Linked DNA regions of Drosophila melanogaster. The protein of the gene in region 1 interacts with the protein of each later gene in a pairwise test. Each region holds a gene or a part of one and is shown on either strand. Other genes may lie near its edges.

Evidence for each region.
Region 2: the proteins of CG11350 (region 1) and Stam interact in a two-hybrid assay, tested with the Drosophila melanogaster proteins (one large-scale study listed by BioGRID).
Region 3: the proteins of CG11350 (region 1) and CG7655 interact in a two-hybrid assay, tested with the Drosophila melanogaster proteins (one large-scale study listed by BioGRID).

The regions. Positions count from the first base shown.
Region 1 is NT_037436.4:4,480,477-4,485,545, reverse strand, and holds CG11350 (uncharacterized protein), read right to left. Parts: upstream 2,738-5,069; 5' UTR 2,703-2,737; coding exon 2,700-2,702; intron 2,635-2,699; coding exon 1,267-2,634; 3' UTR 1,176-1,266; downstream 1-1,175. Other genes in the region: CG13722 (uncharacterized protein), read left to right, coding at 1-137; CG7465 (uncharacterized protein), read right to left, coding at 4,171-5,069.
Region 2 is NT_033779.5:10,856,759-10,863,096, reverse strand, and holds Stam (signal transducing adaptor molecule), read right to left. Parts: upstream 4,562-6,338; 5' UTR 4,263-4,561; coding exon 4,220-4,262; intron 3,728-4,219; coding exon 3,450-3,727; intron 3,391-3,449; coding exon 2,187-3,390; intron 2,121-2,186; coding exon 1,576-2,120; 3' UTR 1,091-1,575; downstream 1-1,090. Other genes in the region: aurB (aurora B), read left to right, coding at 5,120-5,253, 5,309-6,026, 6,087-6,224.
Region 3 is NT_033777.3:17,680,846-17,684,863, reverse strand, and holds CG7655 (uncharacterized protein), read right to left. Parts: upstream 2,196-4,018; 5' UTR 2,076-2,195; coding exon 1,749-2,075; intron 1,690-1,748; coding exon 1,255-1,689; 3' UTR 1,091-1,254; downstream 1-1,090. Other genes in the region: CG31251 (uncharacterized protein), read left to right, coding at 19-119, 177-709, 769-1,055.

The DNA.
Region 1 (5,069 bases):
CCACTCCCAAGTACCTTCCACCCCCTCAGGTGAAGCAGGGTTACGACTACCCTAAGCCAGTCATTCCATTTCCCCCACCCGCTCCCAAGTCGGCGGGCTATTCCTACCCGAAGCCGGCCATCGCATTCGACTTTTGAATAACTCATCCGTCGATTGGCCCTCTCATCACTGATTAAATGACACAATTGCCTCTGTGTGCGCATAGTGATCCTTAGGAACGTACGAAATTGAATAATTGTAGTCTACTGTAATATTTTATTTAATAACTATTATTAATGATTTACCGGGGATCTTGCCTGCGGAATCTCCAATCGAACTTAGTCATTAAAATATGTTTTTAAAACTTATGTTTTAACGATTACGCAATGCTGCCGAATTAAAAATGACAATGTGAATGTTATGTTCTTACTGTTTTCTTTCAGTGTGTCGAAGGGTAAGACGTCTAGTCTTAGAGTGAAACAGCAGATCCCATCTAGAATAAACTAAAAATTCGGTCGAATCACATACTTTTAGACATCGCAGTTTATAGTGCTGGCTTGCCGAAAAGTAGAGTACATTTGGGCAACAAGAAATTAATAATTCTGCTCAAACTTCGGTAACGCGATAGCATTGGAATCATTCAACCTGCTATTTTTTAGCCGGAATAACAAAAGTCTTTCTGTGATACGGATATAATGCTATACATTGAGGCTTTTTATATTACTAAGATAAATTTTTTAATAAGTCTGCCTTACAAAATAGATCCATAATTCACTGGGTTTTTTTTAACTCTGTAGTCTGCCGCGAGGGACTTACTACATAAATATACACTTACTATATGCTTACTACATCCATATAAATCTTACAAAGGCCAAAAAGTATGCCTCGAATTTTCTTATGGTTGACTTTGAACTTGAAGCTTCAGATGACAATGCACTTGCTGAACAAAAAATTAATTTCGAAGCATTAAACGAGTTTCCGCATCTCGATTTGAACTAGTTTTTTCAGTTGCTGTATCGTCTCCGCTTGACGACAGCTCGGTATTAATGCCTGATAATCATTGGCTTTAGTGGCCAAAACTTCTTATTCTATTATGCAATATTATTGTTAGGCAAATAAGGGGGCTCCCGTCAATGGGGTTTCCTGTTAGTCGATTAATTAATCAGGCAGTGGAAGTATTTTTCAATATTTTTTTTATTTATGAATTTATTAATTTCGTTTCCCAGATGAAACCCGTGAGTCAAATAACAGGATTTGGCTCGGTTCGCTGGGGGTTCGTTGGAGCCTCTAGTAACGGTGACGGCGGAGGACCACGCGACGCTGGGTCTTGTAGCGGTATCCATCGTTGGAGGAGAAGGAGTGGGCGGGCTCAGAGGCGGCGGTCTCGTAGCTCTCAGCTGGGGCAGAGTAGGAAGCAGCTGGGGCGGAGTAGGAGACAGCTGGGGCGGAAGCGGCACCGCTGTAGTACTCGGGAGCAGAGTAGCTCTGAGAGGGAGCAGAGTAGGAGACAGCTGGAGCGGAAGCAGCAGCGGTGTAGGTGGCAGCAGGAGCAGAGTAGCTCTGGGCAGGTGCGGCGTAGGACACAGCTGGGGCGGAGGCAGCAGCGGTGTAGGTGGCAGCGGGAGCAGAGTAGCTCTGAGCGGGGGCGGAGTACACTGGAGCTGGGGCAGAGGCTGCTGGAGGCAGGTAATCGTTGGAAGGCAGGTGGCTCACATCACGACGGTGACGGCGGAGCACCACACGCTTGTGGGTCTTGTAGCGGTATCCATCGTTGGAGGAGAAGGAGTGGGCAGGAGCAGAAGCAGCGGTTTCGTAGCTCTCGGCGGGCTCGGCGTAGGAGACAGCAGGTGCGGAATAGGTCTGGGCGGGAGCGGCGTAGGACACAGCTGGGGCAGAGGCAGCGCTCTGGTAGACTGGAGCGGGGGCGGAAGCTGCTGGGGGCAGGTACTCACTGGTTGGGGCAGAAGCGGCTCCCTGGAAGGGGGGCAGGTAGTCGTTGGAGGGCACGCCACGACGATGACGGCGAAGGACCACGCGCTTGTGGGTCTTGTAGCGGTATCCATCGTTGGCCGAGAAGGTGTGGGCGGGCTCAGAGGCAGCGGTCTCGTAAGACTCAGCGGGAGCGGAGTAGGACACAGCTGGGGCGGAAGCGGCAGCGGTGTAGGTCTGAGCAGGAGCAGCGTAGGTCACAGCTGGGGCAGAAGCAGCAGCAGTGTAGGTGGCAGCAGGAGCAGAGTAGCTCTGGGCAGGAGCGGCGTAGGACACAGCTGGGGCAGAAGCAGCAGCAGTGTAGGTGGCAGCAGGAGCAGAGTAGCTTTGGGCAGGAGCGGCGTAGGACACAGCTGGGGCAGAAGCAGCAGCAGTGTAGGTGGCAGCAGGAGCAGAGTAGCTCTGGGCGGGAGCGGCGTAGGACACAGCTGGAGCAGCATAAGACACCGCTGGAGCAGAAGCAGCAACGGAGTAGCTGGACTCAACGGGAGCAGAGTAGGAGGCAACTGGGGCCGAGGCCTCTACGCTGTAGCTCTGGGAAGGAGCAGAGTAGGAAGCCACGGGAGCCGATGCTGCTCCACGGCCGGGGGGCAGGTACTGGCTAGATGGCAGGTGGCTGACATCAGCGGCCACGGCGGCGATGAAGGCGCAGAACAAGAAGAATTTCTGCAATGGAGAAAATGGCACATATTAGCTGATTATCCTAATGGCGCACCGTTCCTGGTTAATACCATTTTGCTGGGTGCTCGGCTGTCCAGTTGAACGGAGAGTGCAAGTGGAAGTGATGCCTTAGACAATGTTCTGCGGCTTATTTATATGATTCTAATCACCGGCCTGCGGCGAGAAATTTGCATTTGACTATTTAATTTATGAATTTGTATTTAGTGACACCGCCAAAACATATCCATTATAGTTTTGCAAGCAGGTTTGCAACGGGTTTTGCGCTCTGCTCAACTCCAGCGAGATCATGAGCCACGATTTGGGAGTCCCCCTTTCACCCCCGGCCTAACCGCCAAATCATCCAAACGGCCACTTAATATTTTAAGTATATTTCGTTAATACTTAGTGGCCAAGATCAGGTTCCATTGTTCCCCTATCCGCACTTGCCAATTTCTCCCAGACCAAACGCGTGCCAATTTCGATTCCCAATTCCGACCCACCCCAGCTCAATTTGCTTAATTGTCGATAATTATATTGTGGCTTAATCAACTGGTACTAATCGGGTTCTATGACTTCGGGTAATAAAAGCAGATGTTCGATAGCGGAGCGGAGAAAAGGCTAAAAACAGTTGGTAAGAAGCGAAATGACTGCCGAAAAAGCAATCAAATTGCGGAAATAAATCACGACCTCAATGCCGAAACAATACATAGATGTGACTGTCGAAAGCGATTGTATATCACCGGCTGAAAGAAAACCTGAACAAAATGAACTGAATACACTTTTGGAAAAATTACCTTTTATGAAGAGTCGAAGGAAAACATTAATAAAACGGGGTAATTAATTCTATTCCTCGAACTAGATTCTGCTAACAAAACGTTTCTATATTTAATTGCAAATCGTATATAAATAATATATCCACTATAAAATAACATTTTAATAAATTACATAAGCGTTTAGGTCATAAAAACCTATTAAATTAATAACGGCATATTAAAAAGACACACCATCCAAGAAAGTTAACATACCCTTACTTTTGTAGGTAAATGGTCTAAAAGCGTTAAGCAGGCTTGAACTTTTTGAAGATGAGATTGCGGAAGCTTCGGCATAAATAGATTTCAATTTCGATTATGTGTCAAGTGTATATTGCTTCTCTAATCCCACGTTCTTATGTGTATAATTAGATCGTGAAATAATGAATATATTCTAGCCCTAAAACCTTTTTATATTATTACATTAAATTATTATTTTTAAATAGGTTAATACATGTTTAAAAACTTTGTCGTTTTTTATTATTCTCTGGTTTATATATTATCCGCAAAGATTTATGTTTTATCCGAATATATTCCTCCTTCAGTCAATTCTATACATATAACCTTTTATCACCCAGCTCGTACACCCAACATAATAAAATTAAAAAGAGCTGAATGTATGGATTCGTTATCGTATTATTGTATTTGAATGAAAAAGAGGTATTCTAATAGTAGGGTCTGCACTCAAAAATGAGCACAATTCGATCACCTAGTGAAGCCTTTATCGGATGATTTAGTGGCGGCGCAACACAACGCGCTTGTGGGTCTTGTAGACGTATCCATCATCAGCCAGGACATGGGCGGGAGCCGCCTCGACGGTGTTTTCCTGGGGGGCAAGGTACTCGGCAGAGGGAGCAGACTGCACGGGAGGCAAGTACTCGTTGGAGAGCTCGTTCACATCACGACGGTGACGGCGGGTTACCACGCGCTTGTGGGTCTTGTAGCGGTATCCATCAACGGCCAAGTCGGTCTCAGGAGCAGTCTCAGCGGGAGCCAGGTACTCGTTGGAAGGAGCTGCGAAGGGGGGCAGGTACTCGTTGGAGAGCTCGTTGACGTCACGGCGGTGGCGGCGGTAAACAACGCGACGATGGGTCTTGTAACGGTAACCGTCATCGGCCAGCTCATGGGCGGGCTCAGCCTCAACCACGACAGGAGCGGGGGCGGCCAGCTGGACAGGGGCGGCGATCTGAACTGGAGCGGGAGCTGGGGCAGCAACCTGGACGGGGGCGGACACTGGGGGCAGATACTCGTTGGAAGGAGCAGCAGCCTGGACTGGGGGCAGGTACTCGTTGGAGGGCAAGTGGCTCACATCACGACGGTGACGGCGGGTTACCACGCGCTTGTGGGTCTTGTAACGGTATCCATCATCGGCCAAGATGGTCTCAGGAGCACCCTCAGCAGGAGCCAGGTACTCGTTGGAAGGAGCTGCGAAGGGGGGCAGGTACTCGTTGAAGAGCTCGTTGACGTCACGGCGGTGGCGGCGGACCACCACGCGCTTGTGGGTCTTGTACCGGTAGCCATCATCGGCCAGCTCATGGGCGGGGGCAGACTCGGCCTGCACGGGAGGCAGGTACTCGTTGCTGGGTCCGGCGATGATCTGCTGCTCCTGGACGGGAGGCAGGTACTCGTTGG
Region 2 (6,338 bases), on another chromosome or scaffold:
AAGTCATACCTTGACTGGCAGTCCCGGTGAGCGAGCAAGGACTGTAGAGCACGCGGAGGTTTTTGTTTTAGTACGTAGGCATAATTCCAATAGGGCTTATGAATCGTGCATGCCACCTACGGACGGTAGGTGGTATCTTTAGAAGATTTTAATTTTCCTACCGTAAGTCAAATAATAAAAAAAAAAAAAAAAAAGGGCACAGGACGAACAAGGTTCAGGTGTTCGGCTGGGCAGGATTTTCCCACGACCCCAGCCAGTTCGCCCAAATTTTCCCGTTTCCCAGCCCATTCGATGTAAGCGTGCAAGGCCAGCAAAATCAATTAATTTAAAAAATACCTATGCATTTGTTGACATTTTTGCAGCTAGACAACACCACCCACAACCACCCACTTGCCAGCCCATAGAAATCAACAATCAGCAAATATTTGCATAGCCTGCTCTCGCCCGTCTCCTGGCTCGTCGTTCTTTCACTCCAGGTGACACTCCGCATTCATTGGCATTTTCTATTTACCAGGCTGAGATACTGTCTGTCTGCCCCGTTTTGACAGTTTATTTCACAGGATATTTGTGCCACCGAATGCCGGATGGAATTTTGCTAAATTGTTGCATGTTTGCCGGATTGCGAGACAGTGGCATGTGGCAAAGCTTGTCTGAATATATTGGAATCTCATCGGAAAAGCGCACTAACACGAGCGGAGGGAGGTATTCTCCGAAAAGGGGATGAGCGCAGTTGAATGGAGCTCTAAGCATGTTAAGTTTAAAAGGGGTGCGAATCCAAAACTCGTGCTGAATTGTTTCAGTTTATAAAGCAATGCAGATTACTCTTTCTGAAGCCTACATAAAGAATTTTACCTTCATGTTTTATAGCATCGATAAGAAAATTTAAATAAATATCATAAAAATAAACAAACAATTCAAGTGAGAAATAAACAAATAATCTGCTTTCTTTATCACTAAAAAAATTTCTAAAAACTTCATCTGATTTCCAAAATTTTCTTGAAAATTATTCCACATCGATTGCTAGTGCTGAAAATATTTGAGAAGGGTAGCCGTAAGCTTTTGACTTGCAATTTTCAAAGACATTGTGTTTACTTAGTATATTTTTATGATTTTAATGAATGTGATTCGTTTCGTTAGATTTATCATAATCCGTACAATAAACATAATACATAATAGTTATCTCCCCTGCACTAAATACAAAGTTATACGTGCTGTTGAATACAGATTATTTATATGGTATATATATCTTTTTCGACTGGTATTGCCTTACTTCCAGAAAAATATATCATTTCGTTGGACCAAATATAAACACAAAAAACGAAAACTCGTAAGGGTATACTTGATATTAATTTGGCTTCTTTCGTTATTTTAAAGGATAGTCGACATATTTGGTTCACTGACAATTGCTCTTCTCAAAATGTACATAGCAGAGATTTGACAACTTCCGTTTCTCGGCAAGTTGGCCAAAACTAACATACTCGATGACATCCTTTTGTCAGAATGAAGACAAAGCTTAAAGTTGCTCGGGCAATTCAAAGCGAACCAAGTGAAGGTCTCTGTTTTAGTGCAGCGGTCTTACCGCTGCTGCTGGTAGATAGGAATGTTGTTCTTGACAGCATCGTTCTGCATGTGATAGCCGGGCGCCCCAACTGGCGGTCCGCCAGCCATGGACATGGCGGCCATCTGCTGATGCAGCTGACTAAACTGATCGTGTGGTGGTGGGTGTTGTTGCTGCTGCTGCTGTGGGGACATGTAGCTCTGCGGGTTGACGACGGCCGGCGATCCGTTCGGTCCATAAAGATTTGGTCCTGGCTGGTATCCCTGTGGTGGCGGTGCCTGCTGATGCTGCGGCGACATGTAAGCGTGCGGAGCCGGTGGCTGCTGCGGCTGCTGGATTTGTGTGACTGCGGGCGGAACTTGGGCGTACTGTGACTGGGGGTCGATGTGGTAGCTGTTCTGGGGATGCTGTGGGGGCTGCTGGCCTTGCTGCTGTGGCGGCTGTTGAGGGTGCTGTGGAAGTGGCTGCTGCTGCTGTTGGGTGGTCACGGGAGTCGGCTGAGTGTAGATTGGCTGGGGCATGGGTGCAGTGCCAGTGGGTTGAGTCAAATGGGCTGGCAGCGCTGGAAAGACGATTGAAAATGTTATTATAGGTAAATATAATAAGTATTTTAATCCTTTGTACTAACAGTTCATCTGTGCGGCATGTCCGTTCTGATAGGGCAGTGGCACCTGCCCCTGCGGTTGACCCAGATAGCCACCAGGAGCTCCAGGTGCCTGAGATGGAGCAGAAGTGGGAGGATTTGGTACGGGGCCATATGGCATCGAGTGCATGCCCGGATAATTTTGGGCCGGTGGGAATCCACCCGCTGCAGGATAACCTGGAGCACCGTACAGAGCGGCACCCGGGAAACCAGCAAGTCCAGGCATAAAGCCGCCAGCAGCGGCGGCAAAATGTCCAGCCGCAGCACGGTCATCCCGCATCAAGGTATGGTACAGATTAATGGCGTCGACGAGGTCGCTGGACAACTGCGTCAGTTGAGCGTGCTTGCGGTCGACGCGTTCCAGCTCGGCATCGATCAGCGGTCCCATCTGATGGACCTCCTGCTCCAGCTGCAGCATTTCGTCGCTGTCCTGCGAGGGATCTTCGGGATTCGCCTCGTGCAGCAAATGCAGCAGCCGGTCGATCTTTGACTCGTCGATCTCCACAGGCTGAGCTGCGGCGGCAGCTGCTGCCGCTTCAGTCTTTTGCTGCAGTGCCGCAGCGGAATCCAACTCTCGTTGCCCGGCTGCGGCGGCCGACTTATGCTGCTGATTGATGTCCAGCCGCTCGGGATCGACGGACAGATCGGCAGTGACAAAGTTCGAGGGGAAGAGACCCTCGCCGCGTTGATTGTATCCCTTCCACCAGTTTGGATCACTATCATCCAGCACATGAATGATCTCGCCGGCAAAGAAGGTCAATTCGTTTTCCTCGGCAGCTTCGAAATCGTACAGAGCTCGAACCTTTCTCGGCTCTGGCGCTGGTGCGGAACTGGCTTCGGCGCTCGGTGCACTCGAGCCGGTTCCAGCGAAAGATGGATACAATGAGGGATAGGCACTGGCGGTGCCGGTACTTGCTACACTCCCAGTCTTTGGACTGCCCTTGTTCTCCTTCAGCGACAATTCGATGGCCTTGGCGATGTCATCCTCTTCCTGCTGGCTGCTGACCACATTCGGATCTTTGGGCAGGGCGGCGGCCTTTTCGGCAACAGTCTTGCTAGTCTTATCGCCAAGATTCTTGAAATCATATCCCTCTTGGCGCAGCTTGGCATAGAGTGCGGGTATCAAGTCGAGCTCTCGATCGTTCTTATAGTCGTTTTCAGCCCAGTTCTTCAGCACTTGGCGCATTTTCTGTGAATCATAATTGGAATTAGAAATGAAATAAGTGAGTTAAAACTGTTTGTACTCACCAGTGAAACCTTTGGCTGTGCTTTGGCCAACAGGCGGCGGAACTCCGTCTCGAAATCCCGTGAAGCCACCTCCAAATGGAGCGGTTTTCCGCAGTTGTTGGACAGGGCGTCCAAAAGCGTAATCGCCTGCATCACCACATGAGGATCGGTGTGGCCCATGCGGCGCATCACCGCCTTCAGGCAATCCTTGGCCAGGCGGGGATTGGTCGTTACCTTGTCGCATACATCCAAAATCAGAGACCAGTTGTCGTTGGTATTAGTTTCGCTGGTGGCCTTTTCTATAAAACAAGAAAGGCATGAACCGCATTAGCTTATCAGTCAAATAGAAATTTATATTCTGAGTCACAGCAAAACAAAGATAAGCTTCTTCGAAAACTGATTGCAGCTAAAGAAAATCAATACAATCGGAAACTAACTAAATTGCATTAAGGGATGGCGAGGGGGTTGGCTGCGTAAACGGAGGGGGTGTGAGGGGCTGCGGGTGCTACGTCACTCAAGGTCAGCGACTGCCATCTAACAACTCCAATAAGAAGTTCAACGAACGACGCAGAGCTGCGCACAGCATCTCACATGACTTTCTTTGTTGTCTGCTCAATCGGGGGATCGGGTTCATAGGGAAAACAGGGGAAAATGGTGTGGTGTGCGGGTTTTTAGACCCCAGATAAGAATAGAAAACTATGAAACGCATATTGGACCGTTGTGCAGTCCAATTGGAACATCGGCTTGTCCAATCGGCCAACACAACAGCTTAACGATAAGTGGTAACTCACCCACGTCGGCGTCGAATGGCGACGACTGCCCAAAGATTCCCATCTTTATGACCAAACCGCTCGCTCGGCTATCTGCCAATAATCTGCGCTGCCCTGGGGTCAATAAATCCAAATCAGTTGATCTTTGTCTGTTTTCCCTATTGTTTTTCCTCTCCAATCGATTTTCGGTGCGTCACGGCGACTGAAAGCACGCTTTTGGTGTACTTCCTCCTGCGTAGACCTTTTCGCTTTTTTCCAAATCTCTTTTGGGCTGCTTATATCTTTTCGATTAGCCTAAAAACTTCCGAATAGCGCTTGCAAATTCGCTTAATTTACGTTTATTGTGTAAAAAATGACTAATGGCGAGTGTGGCCAGATTGCGAATAGTCGGGAAATCCAAAGGATTTTTTGCAGCTCATTTTCAATGGTTAGTTAGAGGTATTCGAGACTTATATTATGCAAAACATTTTTATTTATATATACATATAAATATTATTGATATTGTATATTTAAATAAATTTAGACAACTAATAATATAAATCTATTAAACATCTGATATGATTTGAGCACTGGTAGCTATGGTTTATAATAATTAAACAGTTTTCTATGCCCTTCACTCAAACTATTCTCCTACGGGTGAGAAGCGTATATTATAATAACTATGCACAATATAAGAACAAAACTAGAAGATTAATTTTTATTTAAGAAACATGAAAATATTTTATTATACGTTGACCGAATTTAAAAATACAGTGACTTAACTGCTTCACTGAGAGTCACAGAATAACTCGATTCTAGCATGCGGTCACACTAATCTCAGCATTCGAAAAAAACGCGCAAACAAAAGGGACGCTTATAGAAAATACAACTTAAAATAATTAATTTACTTAAAAATCATAATATTATAAACAAGTCAGCGCCATGACGCTTTCCCGCGCGAAGCACGCCAACCGCAACCACCTGCCGCACCTGCTGGCCAAGGTGCCCGAGGAGCACCAGGAGCCGATCAAGAATATGTGCCTCAAGATGATGTCCCACGACGCATACGGACAGCCGTACGTACAAGCAATAAGCTAATGTATCAATCCGTACTTAATCTGCTCCCTCCAGATACGATTGGAGTCCCCGGGACTTTGAGATGGGCGCCCACTTGGGACGCGGCAAATTTGGACGTGTCTACTTGGCGCGGGAGCGCCACTCGCACTATCTGGTGGCCATGAAGGTGATGTTCAAAGAGGAGCTGCGCAAGGGCTGCGTGCAGCGTCAGGTTCTACGCGAGATCGAGATCCAGTCGCGACTGAAGCACCCGCACATCCTGCGCCTGCTCACTTGGTTCCACGACGAGAGCCGCATCTATCTGGCCCTGGAAATTGCGTCCGAGGGCGAGCTGTTCAAGCACCTGCGTGGCGCACCCAATCATCGATTCGATGAACCGCGGTCTGCGAAGTACACCTACCAAGTGGCGAATGCCCTCAACTACTGTCACCTGAACAACGTGATCCATCGGGATCTGAAGCCGGAGAACATTCTGCTAACCAGCACGGACGACCTTAAGCTGGCCGACTTTGGTTGGTCGGCGCACACGCCGAACAACAAGCGCAGGACTCTGTGCGGCACCCTGGACTATCTGCCGCCGGAGATGGTGGATGGGAACTCCTACGACGACTCGGTGGACCAGTGGTGCCTGGGCATTCTGTGCTACGAGTTCGTCGTCGGCTGTCCGCCCTTCGAGTCGAACAGCACGGAGAGCACCTACAGCAAGATCCGGCGCATGGAGATCTCCTACCCATCGCATTTGTCCAAGGGCTGCAAGGAATTGATTGGCGGGGTGAGTTGGAAGATGTTTCCTTTGAGATCCATTTATTGAACAGGGATTTCATCTTTGCAGCTGCTTCGCAAGGAAAGCAAGGGCCGCATCACCTTGGTGGATGTGATGACCCATTATTGGGTGAAGGCGGGAATGGCCGAAAGGGAGCTGCAGCTGCAGAAACGGGAGCGCGGCAAGGAGAACACGGCCAGAAATTGACTGGTTTCGAGTTTGCATTGTGTAACGACTTATTTCAGATTTTACTTTTATGTTTAATAAACGGTTTATAAGATTTAATGAAGTTTGGAGTATATTTTTGAAATCTGAAAACTG
Region 3 (4,018 bases), on another chromosome or scaffold:
GTTACTATTCTTACAAAAATGGACTTTCAGCGAAACGATGCTATGCTCATGGAAATTCTGCAGGATCGGAAAACTATTACAGGTTTCCTGGACTCCATTTTCGGATTTCTGCGACGCAAGTAAAAGATTTTATCTCAAGATCCTTAACAAAACTGTAGTCCCACTTCCCTTTTTAGCACCGACTTTTATCACACAAAACGCGATGAAGCGGATAAAATAGGCTTCCCCAAAGGCGTGAGGGATCAGATTCTATATGGCGCCATGCAGCGCTACGATCCGGATTGCTTGCTACAATCCCTGACCGCGGAAGGCGGTGCAGATGATGGAGAAACGGCTCCGCCTGCCGTCGAAGAAGTGGTCCTGGAAAGCGAAGATGGTCCTCAGGACGAGGAAATGAAACCCATAGAGAGCCAGCCGCCACAAAAAGGGAAGGAGCAGTCAAAGTTCTCCCCCAGCGACTACAAAAACGGAGATGTGTTCGAAACGCACTGCTGGTCACAAACCCTCAAGGATGTGGAGGTGCAGGCTCTGCTTCCCAAGGATCATCAAACGGCGAAGAAGCTGCACATTTCAATTCAGGCCCAGCACATCAAAGTGAGCAGCAAGCATAGCCCAGAGACGATCATCCTCGAGGGAAACCTGAGCCAGCGGATTAAACACAAGGAGGCGGTGTGGACAATTGATCAGAACCGATTGATCATAAGTTACGGTGGGCATTCACCTAAAACATCTTTATAAACCATTTTCATAAACTGTATATAACTGTAGATAAAGCAAAGGAGCTCTGGTGGGATCGGCTCTTCGAAGGTGATCCAGAAATCGATTCCAAGAAGATTGAATGCGAACGCTATATAGATGATTTGCCGGAGGAAACCCAGGCCACCATAGAAAAGCTTAGGGTCCAGCAGTTGGCAGCAGACAAGCAACAAAATGAAATTCAGACCTCAAGTCCCGACCAAGCTATAAACCTGGATCGCCTGAAAGCTGCCTGGGATGCCGAAGGTTCGCCGTTTAAAGGACAGCCCTTTGATCCTTCTATCGTAAGAATGAGTTAAATTTTAAAATAATTAATTAAGCTAGCAATAGTAGTAAAATAGTAAAAACTGAACCATATATATTTTTATATATCTTTTAGTTTTTTCATTATTTGTTTCGTTCTGATTCGGAAACTGAAATTGTTAGAAAAGTATTATTCAATACAAACTCATGTCAACTTACAACTAGATCTTAGTAAGAACACTTTTGAGATTAAGTTTACTTGGCCTTCAGTTCGAGTTTCTTGCGCTGCAGTTGAATCTTCTGATAGGCCACATCCTTCTGATCTGTGGACCAGGCCAGGTACATGTAGGTGGTCAGCAGCAAGGCCATGACTAGCCGATCCACGCTCATCACATTCGTGGCGAACAGGATGACCGACAGGCCCACAAACGAGGGATGTCTGACATGGGCGTACAGATTGCGCAATTCCCCGGATTTGTAGCTGATGGGCGGTCCGTAGGCCTTCAGATCGTAGTAGGCTTGCTTGACGCCCAGCAGCTCTGGCAGATCCATCACCAAACTGCCGCCAAAGATGACAACCCAGCAGATGCCATGGGTGATCACGAAGGTCCACCAAAGCGGAGCACTCTGCTCCACATCGATTTGCCACAGAACAATCGACTGAGCGGGCAGCCAGTTGACGATCAAATACTGAAATGTCCAAAGTTGCAGTTGGGAGCTATTTCTGTCCAATTTGTGGGTATACAAACATGTAAACAAAGCGATGACGTCAGGCTATAAATAGTGCGCTCCGCACCCGACAATCCCAACTTGGCCAACAGCTTCTTGACCACGGCTGACTTGAGGAAGCTGTGCTGGAAGATGAATCCGATCAGGTAGAGGGTATCGAACACCACGGGTCCATAGGCGGTCTGCAGGCGCGACTTGTTGTCCAGTAAATTGAAAATCCAGGTGTGCGCCTTGGAAATCGAACGAGGCGTCGAAAGGAACATCATCAGGCTGCCAACCACGTACAGGGAGTAAGCGAACGTGGCCAGGGATGCCAATAGTACTATGGACTTGGCAATCGATGTCATTTTTGTCAGGAAAATTGAGAAAATAGCTTGTTATTTCGAGATAATCAAAACAAATTCAATGAACGTTTCGGTGAGCTAATCAGTGCGACCATGGCACAGTCGCGATAAAATCTTCGGTGAAGAATTTCAATTTGGTTTGTGTCCACGATAAAAACATCGCTCTCCCCACGTAGCGTGTCTCGGCTACAAAAACATAGCGCATTTATCCGGCGGCTTGAGTCATCGCTAGTTGTCCAAATTTAGGACTATTATGTGACTGGCGCGATTTTTGGAGTATGTCGCCACGGTCACTCTGTTTGCAAATGTTTCAATTTTCCCACTAACGAAAAAGTGTAAGTCCGCAGCCGAAAGGCATAAGAAAGTTGAGAAAAAGTTTAACAGTTGCAAGTAAGAACTGGTTTGATAAAGCGTATCTAAATCCAAGCAAAGTGATGAAAAAACTGTCGACGCGACAACCCAACACACACACACACTCAAACAGGCGCAGCGCTCCGGCACACATACACAAGTGGCTTGCAAATGGCGGATGCGTTTCCAACAAAAAGAAAAGAAGAAGGAAAAGAAAGACTGCATTGTAAATGTGAAATGTTGTGAAAATTGTTGACGTTGCAAGTGGCTTAAAATCGGCTGAAAATCAGCGTTAGAAGTATAGAGACTGGAGATAAGAAGGGGAGAGCGGTGTACATGTATGTGTGTAAGTGCAGTGCGACGCCCTTTTGTCTTGAGAGGAAAAAGGAAGCCACTACTTTATTTATCGGTGTGCAATTATTCAAGGTGCCAATTAGTAGTCGACACACTTTCACTGCTCCCCATTGCTTAATTATGAGCAAAGGGGACAGCTGACTGCTTTGATTTGCCAAAAATCTCGGGCGCCGCCGTCTGGCCGGGGCCCTGCCCCCGCCCTTTCCCATTTGTTGTTCGCTGATTTTATCAAAGAAAAAGACAAGAAATGAGCATAATTGATGCGCTGACCTCACCACACACACACACATAAGCATATGCGGGCTTATCAAAGGAGCGAGAGCGGAGCAGAGCTCAAAAGAGAGAGCGGAGCAGAGCAGCTGCAGTCCAATAAATCATAGACTCAAAAATCGTTCGTCATCGGGGAAAACCAATTGACAATCAACAAATGCTATCGACGTCTACGTCAGCAATCAATAATCATTAACCGCCAGCTTTAGACAATATCAATTTGCCTATTTATAGCCTTTATGAGTCACTCCACATTTTAGACCAACCTTCCATCTGTGGACCAAAAGAAAAAATTAGGGAAACGAACTTGGAACCTGACGCTCCCACGCAGGAATAACAAGAAGACACCACACACCGCAAAAAACATGCCACGCTTTCTTTCCCACAGAGATAAATAAAGCAGCATTGCATGTTGCATAAATATTACGGGAGAAAAAGACGAAAAGTAGGGAGCAGTGCTTTCTAAAATTAAAACTCTTGAGCCGCTGAAAATAGCAGGGGCAAAAAATGCATTTATGAATAAATAGATGAAAAATAATGAATGAGTGCGAGTACGCTCTCGCTCAGCGGTGACAGAGAGAGCGAGGAAAGCACTTGCACCGTTATCAGTGATGCTGCTGCGAAAGCAAGCTAGTAAAAGTATAATTTCAAATTATTTTTTTATGAAAGAACAAAAATAATATAAAATGGAGAACCCGGTTAAATTTTAGATAGATTGGAAGTTTTCAGTTTTAAGAAGTTATTAGGATATGTAAGTTGATTATGAAAAACAATTTTTTTTTAGAAACAAATCTAGACATTTATAATTCGCATAAGGACTTTAATAATTATACACAGTTACGAGGATCAATAACTTTTTTATTTCCATTTGAAGAGATGTAATCGCATTGGCGAATACTTGACCCACTTCAAACACGCTGCCTTCAAAGGCCAGAAAATGGTCAACTTGGCATTTCTGGCCGGGGCTCACC